Arabidopsis thaliana: one gene and its partners. The protein of the gene in region 2 interacts with the protein of the main gene of each other region in a pairwise test. Each region holds a gene or a part of one and is shown on either strand. Other genes may lie near its edges.

The links.
Region 1: the proteins of CYC3B (region 2) and CDKB2;2 interact in a two-hybrid assay, tested with the Arabidopsis thaliana proteins (one large-scale study listed by BioGRID).
Region 3: the proteins of CYC3B (region 2) and DPB interact in a two-hybrid assay, tested with the Arabidopsis thaliana proteins (one large-scale study listed by BioGRID).

The regions. Positions count from the first base shown.
Region 1 is NC_003070.9:7,291,889-7,296,620, reverse strand, and holds CDKB2;2 (cyclin-dependent kinase B2;2), read left to right. Parts: upstream 1-1,874; 5' UTR 1,875-1,956; coding exon 1,957-2,189; intron 2,190-2,570; coding exon 2,571-2,712; intron 2,713-2,800; coding exon 2,801-2,862; intron 2,863-2,954; coding exon 2,955-3,066; intron 3,067-3,198; coding exon 3,199-3,292; intron 3,293-3,379; coding exon 3,380-3,449; intron 3,450-3,540; coding exon 3,541-3,679; intron 3,680-3,773; coding exon 3,774-3,869; 3' UTR 3,870-4,113; downstream 4,114-4,732. Other genes in the region: AT1G20940 (F-box family protein), read left to right, coding at 103-1,347; AT1G20925 (Auxin efflux carrier family protein), read right to left, coding at 4,114-4,238, 4,322-4,507, 4,596-4,648, 4,728-4,732.
Region 2 is NC_003076.8:3,600,965-3,607,056, forward strand, and holds CYC3B (mitotic-like cyclin 3B from Arabidopsi), read right to left. Parts: upstream 4,387-6,092; 5' UTR 4,201-4,386; intron 3,540-4,200; 5' UTR 3,503-3,539; coding exon 3,347-3,502; intron 3,264-3,346; coding exon 3,177-3,263; intron 3,064-3,176; coding exon 2,877-3,063; intron 2,651-2,876; coding exon 2,529-2,650; intron 2,407-2,528; coding exon 2,314-2,406; intron 2,147-2,313; coding exon 2,013-2,146; intron 1,845-2,012; coding exon 1,769-1,844; intron 1,680-1,768; coding exon 1,603-1,679; intron 1,507-1,602; coding exon 1,473-1,506; intron 1,380-1,472; coding exon 1,230-1,379; coding exon of another isoform or gene 1,141-1,229; coding exon 1,006-1,140; intron 907-1,005; coding exon 847-906; 3' UTR 549-846; downstream 1-548. Other genes in the region: AT5G11310 (Pentatricopeptide repeat (PPR) superfamily protein), read left to right, coding at 5,526-6,084.
Region 3 is NC_003076.8:840,806-845,954, reverse strand, and holds DPB (Transcription factor DP), read right to left. Parts: upstream 3,468-5,149; 5' UTR 3,240-3,467; intron 3,146-3,239; 5' UTR 3,114-3,145; coding exon 2,863-3,113; intron 2,488-2,862; coding exon 2,408-2,487; intron 2,270-2,407; coding exon 2,226-2,269; intron 2,005-2,225; coding exon 1,942-2,004; intron 1,849-1,941; coding exon 1,702-1,848; intron 1,620-1,701; coding exon 1,551-1,619; intron 1,452-1,550; coding exon 1,353-1,451; intron 1,253-1,352; coding exon 1,182-1,252; intron 1,089-1,181; coding exon 755-1,088; 3' UTR 501-754; downstream 1-500. Other genes in the region: AT5G03420 (5'-AMP-activated protein kinase-like protein), read right to left, coding at 1-31, 154-314; AT5G03406 (Class II aaRS and biotin synthetases superfamily protein), read right to left, coding at 4,511-4,609, 4,792-4,884, 5,004-5,133. UniProt on the Arabidopsis thaliana protein: Involved in the regulation of the G1/S transition. Increases the DNA binding activity of E2F proteins after heterodimerization.

The sequences.
Region 1 (4,732 bases), on a different chromosome or scaffold from region 2:
TATGTTGTCTATTATTATATATATATATATATATATATATATATATATATATATGTTGAAAATAACACAAAAATATTCACATACGCCAAGCAAAATAGAATCATGAATAATTTGCCAAGAAATTCTCAATTTGATTCATCTTCCATCATCAATGATTTACCTTTAGACCTTCTCGACGAGATTCTCTTCAGATTAGAACCCAAATCTATGGCTATGATGCGATGCACTAACAATTCTATCAAATCATATTTAAGTGATCCAAGATTTGGACCGGAATATCCTTCATGGGTCAGACCTAGTTTGTTTAACCTTGGTAGCTATGGCGCTACTTATGTATGTTGCCATCCTTTGGTCTCTTCATGCGATTATATGTCACCGGGAAATGGAGTAGAACTGTTTGATGGTAGTGCGGATTGTTACATTTTCGGCTCATGCTCTGGTCTTCTCCTATTGTACATTGGTTGTCTCTTTGTTGCAAATCCCTTAACAAAAAGGTTTCGAATCCTGGATCATTCTGGATCAAAGCTTATACCAATGATAGTTAATGGTGGACTTAAAGGTCTTAGCGGAATTAGTTATCCTGGAGGTAATGTTGCTTGTACGGAACGAGCGATGTGCGTTGGATTTGCGGTAAATCGAAATCTAACAACCAAGAGATTCAAGATCGTGGGCATACTCGAGATGGAAAACGTATACGGATTCGAGATCAACGAAGGAGACTCTTGGAGATTATCGGAAACGAGTATCACCACTAGCTCAAAAAGTGATCTCACTACGCGGATGAAACCTGTTTACTTGGACAACACTCTTCACTGGCTGAGAAACGATGGCAGCATCATGTCTTTTAATCCCGAGACAGAGCAAGCATGCTTGATTCCTTCCATATTTCATCGGGAACCGGATACGAAGCTACTTTTCGCGGAAAGCGTTAAGATCAATCGCCTGACCCTAATTTCGGGGACGATAGAAACAATCTCCGTTTACACACTTGTCGAGAATCACAAATGGACACTCACAAGGCGGATCAAGAACATATCTATCGAGGAAGAAACGCTTGTATATTGGAACATAGCTATGTACGATGGCAAGTGTCTTGTGGTGAGGGTGAAAAAGATGGGTTTAGAACCTTTGGCAAGTGTTCTTCATGTGTACGACATGGAAGCTAACAGTTGGGGAGTTTTGGTGTCAACCCTTGCTTGGCCCAATTGCGTCCGAGATTTCTATAAATTGACGCCCTCCTTGTTCTTTGTAGAGGAGGATGAGCAACAGAAGGTGCTTGTTGCTTCTAATGACCGACGCATCTCCTATATAAATTCGATTATGGGACTCATTGATACCACCAAGTAAACATTTAGGGCCTATAGATTATACAAAAAATGTCCTGATTTATAAGAATGTTTGTTTCCCATTTGCTTTTATCATTGCACTATTATGGTTTATGTATTTCAAATCTAAAAATTAGTTGTATATTACTATTTCTTTTGGGACAAAAAATCATTTAAGACAATGTTGTTTAAGAACTTGTTCTTCTCTGGCTTGTCAATTTTTCGTCCTGCCCAATAAAGGCCCATCTTGTGTGTTTTGTCGAATCTAACAACAAACTCACACCTTTTGACCAAAAAACAAACTCTCCCCTTTTTTTTTTCCTTTCGTGTAGCTAAACCGTCTCCGGATGTTGACAAACATTGGTTATTCACTTTTTCCACGTCACACTTAAAAACAGAACATAAAAAAAAAACTAATGACGACGCTCCAGTTTTGAATTTTGAAAAAAGAAAAAAAGAACCGTTGAAAAAACATGAGTGCTCAAAGAGGGAATATACCTTTTTAATAATCTCCTTCCTATTTAAACCAATTCTCGAATCTAATTACATTTCCTCTCTCTTTCCCCAAATTGAAAACAAAATCTGAGATTCGCGAAGGAAGAAGAAGAGTTGTCTTGAGAGATTGATAGAGATGGACAACAATGGAGTTAAACCCGCTGTTTCCGCCATGGAAGCCTTTGAAAAGCTTGAGAAAGTAGGTGAAGGGACTTATGGGAAAGTTTACAGAGCAAGAGAGAAAGCTACTGGGATGATCGTTGCTTTGAAGAAGACGCGTCTCCATGAGGATGAAGAAGGTGTTCCTCCCACTACTCTTCGCGAGATCTCTATCTTGCGTATGCTCGCTCGTGATCCTCACATCGTTAGGTTCGATTTCCTTTTACATTTCTGATTCGGTTCAGTCACTTTCTGAAATTCTCCGATTTACTGGTTTTGATTGTGGATTTAGGACTCAATTTCGATTTCTAGGGTTTAGTCCCGATTAATTGATGTCTCAATTGATTTGATGACTCTGATTCTTCCTGCAAATCGCGCTTAGTGTCGCTCTTAGGTGTTACTGGTAGATCTTAGTTTCAGTTTGCTATTTGTTGTGTGGTCCGATCGAGATAAAATGGGTTCCTTATCTTATCCGAATACTAGAAAATGTCAAAGTAGAAGCTCTGTGTTGTGATCTCAGTTTCAACTATTTTTGTGGTGATTGCATTTCTACTGAGAGATTATTGTTATGATGATTATCTTCTTCTACAGGTTGATGGATGTTAAGCAAGGAATAAACAAAGAAGGAAAAACTGTACTTTACCTTGTTTTCGAGTATGTTGATACTGATCTCAAGAAATTCATCAGAAGCTTTCGTCAAGCTGGACAGAACATTCCACAAAATACTGTCAAGGTTTGGATATTTGGAGATTTTGTTCTGCTTTTTTTCTCTCATCCGATAAGCCCCTTTAAGCTAAGAGAAACATGTTCTTGAATTGCAGTGCTTGATGTACCAGTTATGCAAAGGCATGGCTTTTTGCCATGGTCATGGAGTGTTGCACAGGTAAAAATCGTCTTTGTTTTGGAAGAACTATGACTTGAGATAACCCATTTTGACACAGATCTCTAATCCTACTTGTCTTGGTTTCATTACAGGGATCTTAAGCCTCACAATCTCTTGATGGACCGGAAGACAATGACGCTCAAAATAGCAGATCTTGGATTAGCCAGAGCCTTCACTCTCCCAATGAAAAAGTATACACATGAGGTATATAAGTCTACGTTGATGAAACATTAGTCCTGTTTCATTCTAGTTTTTTTTTTTTTTTTTAATTCTATCTTAGTTTATCTGGAGTTATAACTCAGGATGATTTTACCCCCATGATTTCATTTGCAACAGATTCTAACTCTATGGTATAGAGCTCCGGAAGTTCTTCTTGGAGCAACCCATTACTCTACTGGAGTGGATATGTGGTCTGTTGGCTGTATTTTTGGTACAAAATCTTCTCTTACAGTTTCACTGGTTTCAGTTCAATGTCACTAGCAAGAACTAACAGTTTTGTTTCCTTTTTGATGTGTAGCTGAACTAGTGACCAAGCAAGCAATCTTTGCGGGAGACTCTGAGCTCCAACAGCTCCTCCGTATATTCAGGTAAGTCTTTGTGTTCATCTTTACCTTTAAGACACAAACATGACATTCGCTAACTTGGTTGTTCTGTTTCTTTCTTTCCTGTCAAACTCAGGTTGTTGGGAACACCAAACGAAGAAGTTTGGCCTGGAGTAAGCAAACTCAAGGACTGGCATGAATACCCGCAATGGAAACCGTTGAGTCTCTCCACAGCTGTGCCAAACCTCGACGAGGCTGGACTTGATCTCTTATCTGTAAGTCTCTAGTGTCTAACACACCTCTCAGACCTTGCTTGATTAGTAGATAATCACTCTGCTGAGACTAATTTGTGTTTCTCTTTGTGCACAGAAAATGCTGGAGTACGAGCCAGCAAAACGAATCTCAGCAAAGAAAGCTATGGAGCATCCTTACTTCGATGATTTGCCTGACAAGTCCTCTCTCTGAGGCTCTCTTTATAAACTCTCAATAGGATATTTTGTTCTATCTCTGTCTTTGCTTGTCTCAAGCATTTATCTGCTATCTTAGGATGATTGAAGTTTCAATATTCCCTTTTGATTGGGTCTCTATTCCCAATTGTATAACCTTCCAACATTTTTATCAATGAAAGAATATATCAGTTTCTCTAATATTTCAAAGTAGCAAGATTTGCAACTGTTTCCCATTTGTGTAAGTGTGTGTGTGTGGATGTTCAGGCTACGAGCCACATGAAGAATGTTGGCCAGACAGTGAGAGAAACTGAAGCCAAGGCATAACTCCAGAATAGAATCACAGAGCATTCACTTTCTCCTGATCCGAATAGTTGAGTGATTGTACCTGCCAAAAGGTCAAGTGAGTTTATGAGAAAGACAGTGTGATGACATGTTTTGGTAGTATTTTTGTGAGTCTGAAGAACGAACCAAGATTCATCGCTGGGGGAACGACATACTGAAGCAGAAGAACAAACTGGTAAAGCGGTTCGGATGTAACCAAACCCAAGTAATGCGCTCCTCGTACTATGAAAACTCCTAATATTGGCAGCAACAAGTAACGCACAACCACCACACCCATTATGACTGACTTGTTTATTCCTGAACCTCTCAGACCTGTGATTATTATAAGAGAGAGAACAGAGATTTAAGGTTTTGTCTTAGGAAAAAAAGTTTCTGCAGCCATTTGTTATTGTTTATCTACCATTGAGAAGGTTTCCTCCAACAATCAGAGTCAGAACAGGAATCGCCCCGTCCCTTCAAGAAAATTAAGCTACTCAAGTAAGCATTGTTAATTATCACTGACAAGTGAGATTTTTAATATGTTGTAGAATACCCCAA
Region 2 (6,092 bases):
CATAAGAAGAGAATAAGTGATCATGTAAACAATAACACTGTTTTTACCATTTTATAGTGAGAAGTTACCGGTTTAGGCGTCCTGATCTTTGTAAATGAATCTCGTGCGCAATCACGGCGGTAGAGGCTATTGCCATACAGAAAATTATAGGTAAGTCGACTTTGAGAAAAGTATCTGAAGCGGTTTTAAGTCGAGCTACAGACTTAGGGATTTCTTGTTTGTTTAGTGGAGGACTATATAAGGAACTGTAGCTGTGATAACTCAACTTAAGGAACTGAAGTGGGTATAGTTGAGAGTTTTTAAGGAGGAAAAGTGTTGGCGTATCTTCGAATTTTAGGATTTGATTGAATTTGTGGAAGATTGAAGAACTTCAAGCCATGGAAATACATACATTGAAGTATACCTGAAGACTAATTTGACGAATAAAATCAAGCATGGAGGAATCAGTAAAAAGGGGATACCAAATGTTACACGGGAGACGTTAATTGTAGATGGAAATGTTTCCATATGAATATAGCATTGCGAAATCAGAACAAACAACATAACAATCCAGCCATGAACAGTGAAATTTATATTAATTAACACTTTTGTATTCGTTTTCCAAGTGCTCCTAGGTACAAAATCCCGCAGGATAGTAAATAGTTGTAGCAATGCGATTAGAAAAATTCCATAACATTTATTTAAAGCTAAGTGGTGTGACAAGTAATGGCCTACAATTAAGGCGCCACACAATAGCTACAGAATTACAGACAGACAAAACTGGCAAAGAGACGACATAACATCCAATGTCTGAAAATAGGTATTTTGATCACCTGACTTGGGCTCTGTTTTCGATGTTGCTTGGTGTCATCTTGAGAATAGTGATGTGACTCGTTTGGGAGATGTCAGCTTTGCCACGCTCTTAAACTATCAAAGTCATACAGAATTAAAACCAGTTCAATCATTCATTCACTTTTCTTCAACAATCAGTAGTTTGATTTAACGGTGTTTTGTAGAGAAATGTACCTTTGGTTGGTTGTATTTCTCACGGGTGGCAGCGAGAGTACAGCCACTGGTGTTGAGCTGCAAGTCCTCCATGGCGAGAACTGTGTTCTTCAGCTCAGCTACCTCATATCTGGTGTAGTGTTGCAGAGTAGGGTTCTATAACCAAACATCATTCTTTTTATCAGCACAAAAAAGAGGCAAACACAAAAACAACCTTTTTCAAGATTCAAGAAACATGAGCTGACCCAAGGATGGTCAGTTTGGTCGAGTGTCCATCGGGCTAGGAAAACAGCTGAAGCAGCAATTAGTGATGGCAGGAACCTTAGGAAACTATATTCCACCAGTGTCAATTCGGCGAGATAGTTTGCTAAATACTCCAGTTCAATGAAAGGCACCTGCAAAATAATTATAAGAAACAACGCACTACATTCAGATTCCAAGTTTCTGTAGAAGTGAGGGTTGATGATAAATGGATCATGGTTTCATACCTTGTACGAAGCTTGAGCTGCTTTAATGAACCGCCTGAAAAAACATTGGTAAGATGAAAACTCAGTGGTACTATTTTTAAACAAAGTTGGAAAGATATGATGATTCATAGTTCTGCCCTTTAGTATTTACCTCAGAAATGTTTTGGTGGTAGGAACCGATAATCTAAAGTGCACAAAATTTAGAATTTGAATCTCCATGCTCAGCACCTGAAACAAAGATTCCAGTTTATATATTTTCATCAAGAATCTGTACACATTAAAGATACCGAGAGATGTGTGATTTGAATGTTAATTACTTCTGGTCTTGTGTATGTGTTGGCCGTAATGAAGCAAAACTCCTCCACCCCTGGTGCGGAAAGCTCTTCATATTTTCTACAAGGTTCAACAAAAATGTATAAGGAAGATAAGCCTTACTTGTTTCTCTACTTAGCAAGTATACATATATATATAGGTTCGCGCTCTCCCAGTGATGGAAATGCTGTTCTCATTGCTATAACCTGAAATTGACAAACACACACAAACAACAAAGTAGGGACTTACGAAGCTATAAGCATGCAAGAGACACCAAGGAGCTGGAGTCTTTGCCTTTCAATGTAACTGTTGGACAGAAACCGGTCGATAAGATTCACTGTAAGGTAAAGCGTATCTGGAACCAGCTTGTAGTCGTCAGAAACCTGAAAATACCACGCACTTCACTATTTTACTCAAAAGTACTCTCAGTTTTTGCTCTAATTTTTGTAAGAAAGCTATGTATAGTAAGGTTTAGTGTCCTATTCAATAAGAAACATAATAAGATGATGCCGTTATTTATATATATGAGCTAAGTTTGAAGGTAACTAACTTCTACAAGCCAGTCAATCAGAATCTTTCTCATGTCTGGGTCGATATCTCGCTGCACAAGCTCCATATAATTAGCCAAGGGTCGTTGTTGAAGCTGCAAGAAAAGAGAGGTTATAACTCCAACAGTCTTCATATAAGTAGTTATATTGAGATTAGTTACAAGAAGTTAACAGTGGAAAGATGTAAAGCAAATATTTGGATCATGTAATTCAATACCTCTGCAACATGTATGTTGTCATATATATCAGCAGCATACAAGCTGCAACACTGTGGATCTTCGACGTTGGAATCAATATCTACAACTTGAAGTAACTCCATGACACCTGATCCATCTTCTTCTGCACAATCCAGTATAAGATACATACCTTAAGTAAGTTTGAGAAATTCATGTTGGTATAGAGTTCACTTGTTTCAACCCTTGACAACACAAATTTAATGGGAATAACTAATTTCAGCATTCTGGAGTCCAATGCTTGATTTAAAGTTAGCGAGTGATCAACATGACCTCGGAAATGAGGAGAAGGTGGTAACTATCATTATTTTCACGAACACTGTAGTTCTTACGTTGCTCAGTAATTTCTTCATCTTTAAAGTTTGAAAGAGAGACATCTTGGGCTTCAGCCATCCTGATCTTGGACAAATCTTCTGCTAATTTTGATTTTTCTGTATGCATATCTACCAGAATATCCATGGCACTGTTAGCACCTTCCTTTGCTGCTTTTTTAGGCTCTTTTAGACATTTTCTGTTTGCCTGCAACGTGATGTCAACAGTAATAAGCCCAAAGGGAAAGTTTGAAGGCTATATTACCAACATAAGATATAAACCAACCAAGACAATGAAAGCGTATCATCTGAAATCTTTACCTTGATGTTGCCTCCCTTTCGAAGTTCTGAATAAATAATATCTGCAGAGGTATTACTCACATCCTTAAGTACTGCACGTCTCTTTTGCTGATAAACCAGAGGCAGGAAATTAGAGAGTTTAGCATCAGCTCTTGAAATTCATGACTTTCTATAAGAACATGTTTCAGTACCTGTTTAAAAGAAGGTTTTGTTGGAGGTATTGATACTCCTCTTCCCATGGCTTTTTTAGCTCGTGATCTCGTTATTCGTACAAAACTCTCCTGTACATCTGAAGTAGAGATATTTTCTTTGTTTGCATTTGGATGCATCGAAGAAGAGCAATACATAATTTAGTCTGGAAAAAGGCCAGTGGTTAAGCCAAGCCTGCAGAACAACAACAGTTCATAATCAAATGTCTATCCTTGCCTCCATCAAAAAGATCAAGCAATGTTCAAATGCAGCATAAATTTCAGGAAGAAACAAGCATATAGTGGCAATTAAAACGATTTCTTCATACTCAAATTTAGCCACAGATCTCAATTCCACACGATTCTAACTATTGAGTAAATGTCAGCTTAAACAAGCAACCCAGCTTATCACAACTAGTTTCTATGTTTCCTTCACATTAATCTGCATCGATAGATCCAATTTTCAAGCTAGTCATTTCCAAATCGAATTAAGCATTGTTCTTCATAGCAAAAATCCTTTAAAAGACCGATTACTTAAACAAACAATGAGCCATAGAGTACACACACGTTTCATAAAATCCAGTCAAACAGATAAGAACGATCTCAACAATTTCAATTTCCCAGTGATTAGCCATGCTTGAAGAACAAATACGCAGAAACCAAATACAAGCGGAAACAACAAAGAGGAATCGATCATCTCAATCGAAGACCAAAAAACATTCGCTAGAGAGATCGATTAGACTAAAATCCAAACTACTATTAGCTCCGATCGATCAAAACGCAGAGCAACAAGCTACGATTCAGAGAATCGGTAATCAAACAGGAAATTGTGAGCAGACGAGAGGTGATGATGATACCTGGCTCAACAAATAGGTTTATGAGTTTGTGAAGGAGCTCTAATGGCGGTAAGAGAAGCTCAAGGAGAGAAGAGAACGCTCCAGAGAGAGAGAGAGTGTTGAAATATGTGTAGGTGGGGGAGAGAGCGGAGAGGAGCGGGGGAAGCGACTGACTGAAAAAGGTACTGTTTGAAATTCGGATTTTTTTGGATATAACAAAAAAAAAAAATCGGAATTTAAAAAATCTTTCTTTGCTTTTTTTGGAAAAATCTTCAATTTCTTTGGTAAAAAATTGTAAGAATGATTTCTATAATTTGGTCCAAGTTACTATACAAGGAATAGTGCAACTGTCTTTTATTACTACACATATGTTGGAGCTGTCAATTAACAAAAAAAAGTTTATATGTTATGGTAATTTGTTTGTTTTTTAAGAACTACACTACTTCGATAGATAGACAAATTATTGGTCGAGAAATTTCCGACAAACATAAAATGGTAATGACTATTATTTTGAAAACAAAAAATATATTTACCTTACGTAAATTACAGTAATTTCTAATTTGGAAACGAAAATACATTAATAGACATTATATTTACATTAAACGATTCTGTACGATATTATCACCGCAATGTATCTACCATCATTCACGTTTTTAATCGTTGATTTACTTAATCAAATTAAAAGATGTTAATTTAAAATTCATGTATCTGGAAAATACGATCCAAATACACATCAACAAGTGCTCGAGTTCAGATCAATTATAAATTTTTGACATTTTTCTAATTATACACATATTTTCCAACTATTTTACCTTAAAATCAATTTAATATATTTGGTCAATAATATTTATATGTTTATTTCTTTAAAGGGATAAAATAAATTTGAAAAGGAAATGGAGGGAGAAAATAACCACATCCATTGCCTTGCATTCTCACAATTATTTCGAAAGATATTTATTCACATATAGAAATTCAAACATTAGTCAAAAAGGCGTTTCTACCAATTTAACAACATTAATTATATGTATTTGGACATATACGAATCACACGCATACACGGATTCTTACTTGCAAAATAATAAATTGTAAATTATCCAAAAAAATAAATGATAAATTGTATATACATCTTTATAAAAAACAAATTAAATACGTGTGGAGAAGGACTAGAAAGACAATTTCTAAGTTGTATGAGGATATATATCAAATATTCTATATGTAACTTCATTTTAAAATAATGGGCCATGTTGATCGATATTTTCAGTTAACAAACAAAAGCCCAAATGGCGCGTAATCGGAGTGTCCTAATTTTCTCGGCGGACACTTAATTCTAATAAACGGCGGCAGAAAATGAACTCTCTGTTCACCGCCTTCCGCCGCAACCTCCTCTTAAACCCTAATCCTCACCGCAACTTCTTTCTTCATAGATTGTTATCATCATCTCGCCGTTCATCCCCGCTCATTCCCGTCGAGCCTCTCATCCAACGGATACAATCACCCGCCGTACCCGATTCTACATGTACTCCACCGCAACAAAACACCGTCTCGAAAACCGATCTCTCTACTATATCGAATCTTCTCGAGAACACTGATGTTGTTCCCGGTTCGAGTCTCGAGTCAGCTTTAGATGAAACCGGAATCGAACCGAGTGTTGAGTTGGTTCACGCGTTGTTCGATCGGTTAAGTTCATCGCCGATGTTGCTTCACTCAGTGTTCAAATGGGCGGAGATGAAACCTGGGTTTACACTTTCTCCTTCACTTTTCGATTCTGTTGTCAATTCTCTATGTAAAGCTCGTGAATTTGAAATTGCTTGGTCGTTGGTTTTTGATCGAGTGAGAAGCGATGAAGGATCGAATTTGGTTTCTGCAGATACGTTCATCGTTTTGATCAGACGGTATGCTCGTGCTGGTATGCAG
Region 3 (5,149 bases), 2.8 Mb from region 2:
CTCCTCATTGCTCTTCACTCTCTTACGAACTCTGTTCAAATTCAATTCAAGCAGACCAATTAACCAAAACAATAATTGAAGTACGTCTGCTGTCTCCAATTTTCCACAGATCGAAGCAAAAACCAAAAAAAAAAACGACGAGAAATTTCGAACCTGGTTTGTTTGGTGGAACATGCGAAACAGATAAAACTATGCTTCTTCGTGGAATTCAAGTACGAAACAAAAAGTTGAGGCTGATGATAGTAGAACGATGGTTTCCGAAATTCGAAACAAGGGAAGGAGATAGAGAAAGGTATCTGAGAAATCGTCGCCATGGCCGGACTTTCTCAAGCTCCGATGTTCCCAGCATTTATTAACATTCAGACCGAATTACATGAAACAGAACTACATTTCTAATGATATGATTGATATGGTAATATTTTAACCGGATTTCGGTTCAACAAAACCGGAAATCGATTAGTTCAGTTTCGTAATTTCCAAAATTGAAGTCCATAACCGGGTTTCCGAATAACAGAACCGAACATGGACTAATCCAAATGGTTAATAAAATTCATTTCTACACCACAGAGCAAAGTGTTTTTTTTTTCCTATGGCAAAGATTCTTAAAATCGCTAAACCCGACAAGGATCCTAGATTCGATAAACCACCGGTACATTTACCGCTAAACAGACTATTCGTCAAAAAACCAGGTAAAGTTTTTCAAGAGCTACTTTACAGTTTTACAGAAATTGTACAAGGGGCCTTCATACGTGTTTCAATTCTCCGGCTTCATGCTGGAGTTCATTATCCCTGGAAGAGACGGGGATTTCACTGGAGCAGTATCAGCGCTGGAAGTAACGTTGTTAGTCTCAGGCATAGGAATGATTTGTAGCTGAGAATGCTGCTGATGTTGTTGCGATTGAAGATGAGTCTCGTACATATCCAGCTGCGGTGTTGGACCTGTGCTGGGGCCTTTGTTAGGGTTTTCTGGCGTGAAATTGTGACAAACCAGCTGGCTGTTGTTCCGACCGTTTGGTTGTTGCGGCGGTTGATCACAAAACTTCATAGTCTTGAGGACAAAATTGTCGTCGTGGAGCTCAAATGGAGTGCTGCAAATAGTGAAAACAGTTGTCACAGTGTCAGTAATCGGTTCCATAGATATATTAGCTGAAAAGAGATCAAATCTGGTGTTTGGATTTTACCTGTTGAAATCAAAATGCACGAGCTGCATATCTTCTGATATCTCCACTTCTACTGTTGCGTGAGGACGAGTCTGGTGCAGAGAAACAACAACAATCAGGTGATTTTTTCATTTTTCTGAGGTTTCCTTGTGGATCAATCTAAGATCATACGAAGCTGTTGGTGAAGTTTACCTGGACAAGGATAAAAGGAAGAGCAACACCGCCACTGGGAGCATTTCCTGAGCTATATAAGTGCTCATTTCTCTGTATCAGATTCTGAAGGCCTACATACTTTCAGACATACACAGAGATGATAGAAGGACCATGTAAGAATCTATGATAAAAGTAACAGGAAGCAGATAAGCCGAGAGTATCGATGATGTTCATTACTTGTTCTTCCAGTTCTTGGGAATATGCAGTTTTCTTCTCAATTCTGTTCCTAAGTGAGAGTCGTTCGTTCTGCAAAACAAAATAATTCAAATTCAGGAAAATTCTCTAAACAAGCTATGGAACATCTGCACATAGAATATGTGGTTGAAACCTTTAATTCTTCAATGTCGCTTAAGCTTGTCCGAGGAAGACCTCTCCATTGAATTTCTTTTTTATCCTTGGATATTATATCCATAGCCATGAGGACGTTTAAAGCATCATATACTCTTCGTCTTATGTTTTTCTCATCATACTGTTGCTGGTAAAACGTTTTCACATGATATAATTTCATCAGAGTTCACAACGAGTATTGCACACGTTCCAGGGTAGAAACTATCGAAGAAACGCATACCTGATCAGGGGATGTTCCATCGTTATTTGGAAGTGCAAATTCAGCAACAAGCTCGTCTGCAACCTGAAAGTACTATCACCTGTTAGATACCGTATTACAGAGCTACACGTTTGCAGTACTAATCATGAGACAAATTGATATTCCCATATGTGATCTTGACAAGTGTTTAATCACACTGGTAAGCACAATAAATCAGTATCATCATATAACATAAACAGAAGTGAATGGATCTTGCAAAGCATAAATACTGTGAAGCTTTTTGTTTAAAAAGGAAACTACCGTACCTCATTGTAAGTTGTCCTTCCTTTGCTTTCCACCTTTTCACAAACTGAAAGGAAGGCCAGACGAACATAATATCAGTTAAATGTATAACCAATCTTAAGAGGCATTATCCACACAATTCATAGCTAGAAACTTGAAAGGCATTTAGATGAAAGCATAATAGGGGCAGAGAAAGAGATAAGACCTTTCATACTAAATTGACGTAGTCCTCTTCCAGTCTTATCTGGACCAGCCGCACGCTGTCCCCTCTTCTTCTTCTTAACACTGTAAATAGATTATATGATCAACTAAACTACACAGAACACATGTAACAACTTCCACACAAAAATTAACGCACAAAGACAATGGCCTAAACAGTATCTTTTGTCCCAATAAGGATAGGAAAGATGAGTATTCAAATATGCAGATTATTAGTAGATTTTAGACTAATACATATCAGGAGAGCCAAATTCAAGCTTGTAAAAGTATGATCCACACATCATACTTACATCTACTGGTTCAGTTTCATATATTCATTAAGCTCATAAAAGCAGCCATTGCAATAGAATGAAAACCCTAAAAATCGCTAAACCAAACATCACAATAAACACATCAAAGCCTTTTAATATAAAAATCACAGAATTGAGGTGGTTTACATACCCAGAAGCTCCTTGAGAACCAGCATCATCACCTTGAATGTCCAAATTATTCAGGCGTTGAAAAGTAGTGTCGCTAGTAGATGTAACAACGGTGATGGTTTGCTCACTCCGGCTCGACGGAGAGCCCATACTGCCGCTAGTAGACACAGATTGACCTGAAACCGCCGTGCCCCAAGACCTAGTACTAGGGTTATTGTTGTTATTATTGCTTTCATGGTGGTTGTGATTAGAATTAGACCCAGTAGTTGTCATTCTTCTTCCACCTAAAACTAACTACCGCGCTACTGGAGAATTCAATAGAAAACGAGAAAGAGATTTGTTAAAATTTGTCAAGGAAAGTTTCTGATTTTGACGAAAACCCAGATTTTGAGTACTGACCTTGAAAATCGACTTGGGTTTTTGGTTATTAACGAGAATTAGAAGCTTCAATAATGGCGGATCAACATTAGAATTCTTAGTGTGATACTACTCTGGAAAGGTGGTTTTCGCGGCGGAGAGTTAATGGATTTCGCCGGAGAAGGAGGAGGATAAGTCGATCGGGGTTGGGAGGCTTGTTATTTGTGCGATGGTGAAAAGATGTCCACAATGAGAGAGAGAGAGAGGGACCAAACTGACTCATAGGTGAAAAAAAAACAAAAAGTTAAAGAAGATAATTTTCTTTACTTTTTTTTTATTTTACCAAAAGATTAATTCTCTTTAGTGAAATTTAGGTCTTTTGTTAATCAGAATATAATACTGGAATTATCTTTTTATTTTTATTTTGGCTAAACACTAAAATTATCTTCGTCTTCTTCTTTTGTTGGCTAAATACTGGAATTATCTACCAAAATATGTTTATATGGCTTTAATAAGCATGAAAACAAATATAAAAAACATACATTGATACATCATAATGTAGATGGATGATCAAGTCAAAAAGTTAAAAACATGTGTGGTTGATACCACTAGTCAATCACATTCGATATGAATTTTCATTATATGAAATTTACTCATTCTAGTGTTGATAAGATTTGAGCTTTTAGGAAATATAAACATATCATGTTCATCCTCTTTCATTACTAAAACTGGAGCAAAAGAGTTTTTCTAGTTCCGAAGATTATGTGATAATGTAGCTTAAGGTTCACGAAAGGCACATTTTCTTTTCTTTTTAGCATTTCTCGGTTTGAAATAAAAATCACATGCCACATGTGGCTGATTCGAAGTCAAAAAGTATATTTTGTAAATCACTATTAGACGAATAAACGAGTATTGAAGATCCATCAATAAAATTCTTAATGAAACCTTTGAGGACAAAATAAAAATCCAATCTCAACTCAATTGCTTTTGAAAAAAAGGACAATTGAACAATTTGTTCAAGCCTTAGATACTACTACTCCAAGTCATCAAGTTTGACTTGAAATTGCTCACCTGAAGACAAAACCTTGACACTGACCGAACCAACTTCCCAACCAGAACCGGCCTTCTTGCGTTTACCCGAGCCGCTCTCTTGAACACCCATTTCAGCGGTTTACTCTCCAATACTAAATCAACGGTTTGCCCTTTGTCTTTAAGAGCGGTTGCAATGGTGGTTGCAGCTCCTTGGAGATCTTTGTCCAAAGCACACACGATGTTCTCTACTTCTTGTCCCAATTCTGGCAACAAAGCAGCTGTTAATTGATGTTTAGATTGCTAACCTTGTCTATAATGAAGCAAACTCTTCCAAACAGGTCTTCGGGTACACCATACTTTTTTAAAAATTCTTGTAAAACCTGTACAAGGAAGAAGTTATGGGAGATGTTAGCTACAGTGGATATTCAGATGCTGCAGATCGTGCAAAATAATCTCAACTCATGTTTAGCATTGCAAGTGAGTTACTTGGTTCTGTATCTAGAGTGTAAACCAAGAAACAAAATGATCATATCACATCAAAAGAGAACGTAAGCAAAAATACCTTGCGGCTTGAAACCTTAAAACCCACATCTGATGCAGTGATTCCAATTCGCTTGAAGAATGTCATTATAGATGAAATTAGTTCTGCTTCAGCCTAAAAGAAAAGGTTTGTGAACCAAATTAGCCGGCTTATAGAGACTTTAAACACAGATCAGGTTCATATAACAAAAAACTAGAAGGCCTAAAGTGATTAAAGGTATGAGAGATACATACTGTAACTTCAGGCACACCAATAATATCCATATTCCACTGGTAATGCTCACGTCGCCTTCCTCGTGTCATTCTCTCATATCTCCAACACTGCCCAACAGCAAACCACTTCAATGGAAGGGAAACAGATTTTCTGGACCAAAAAGAAT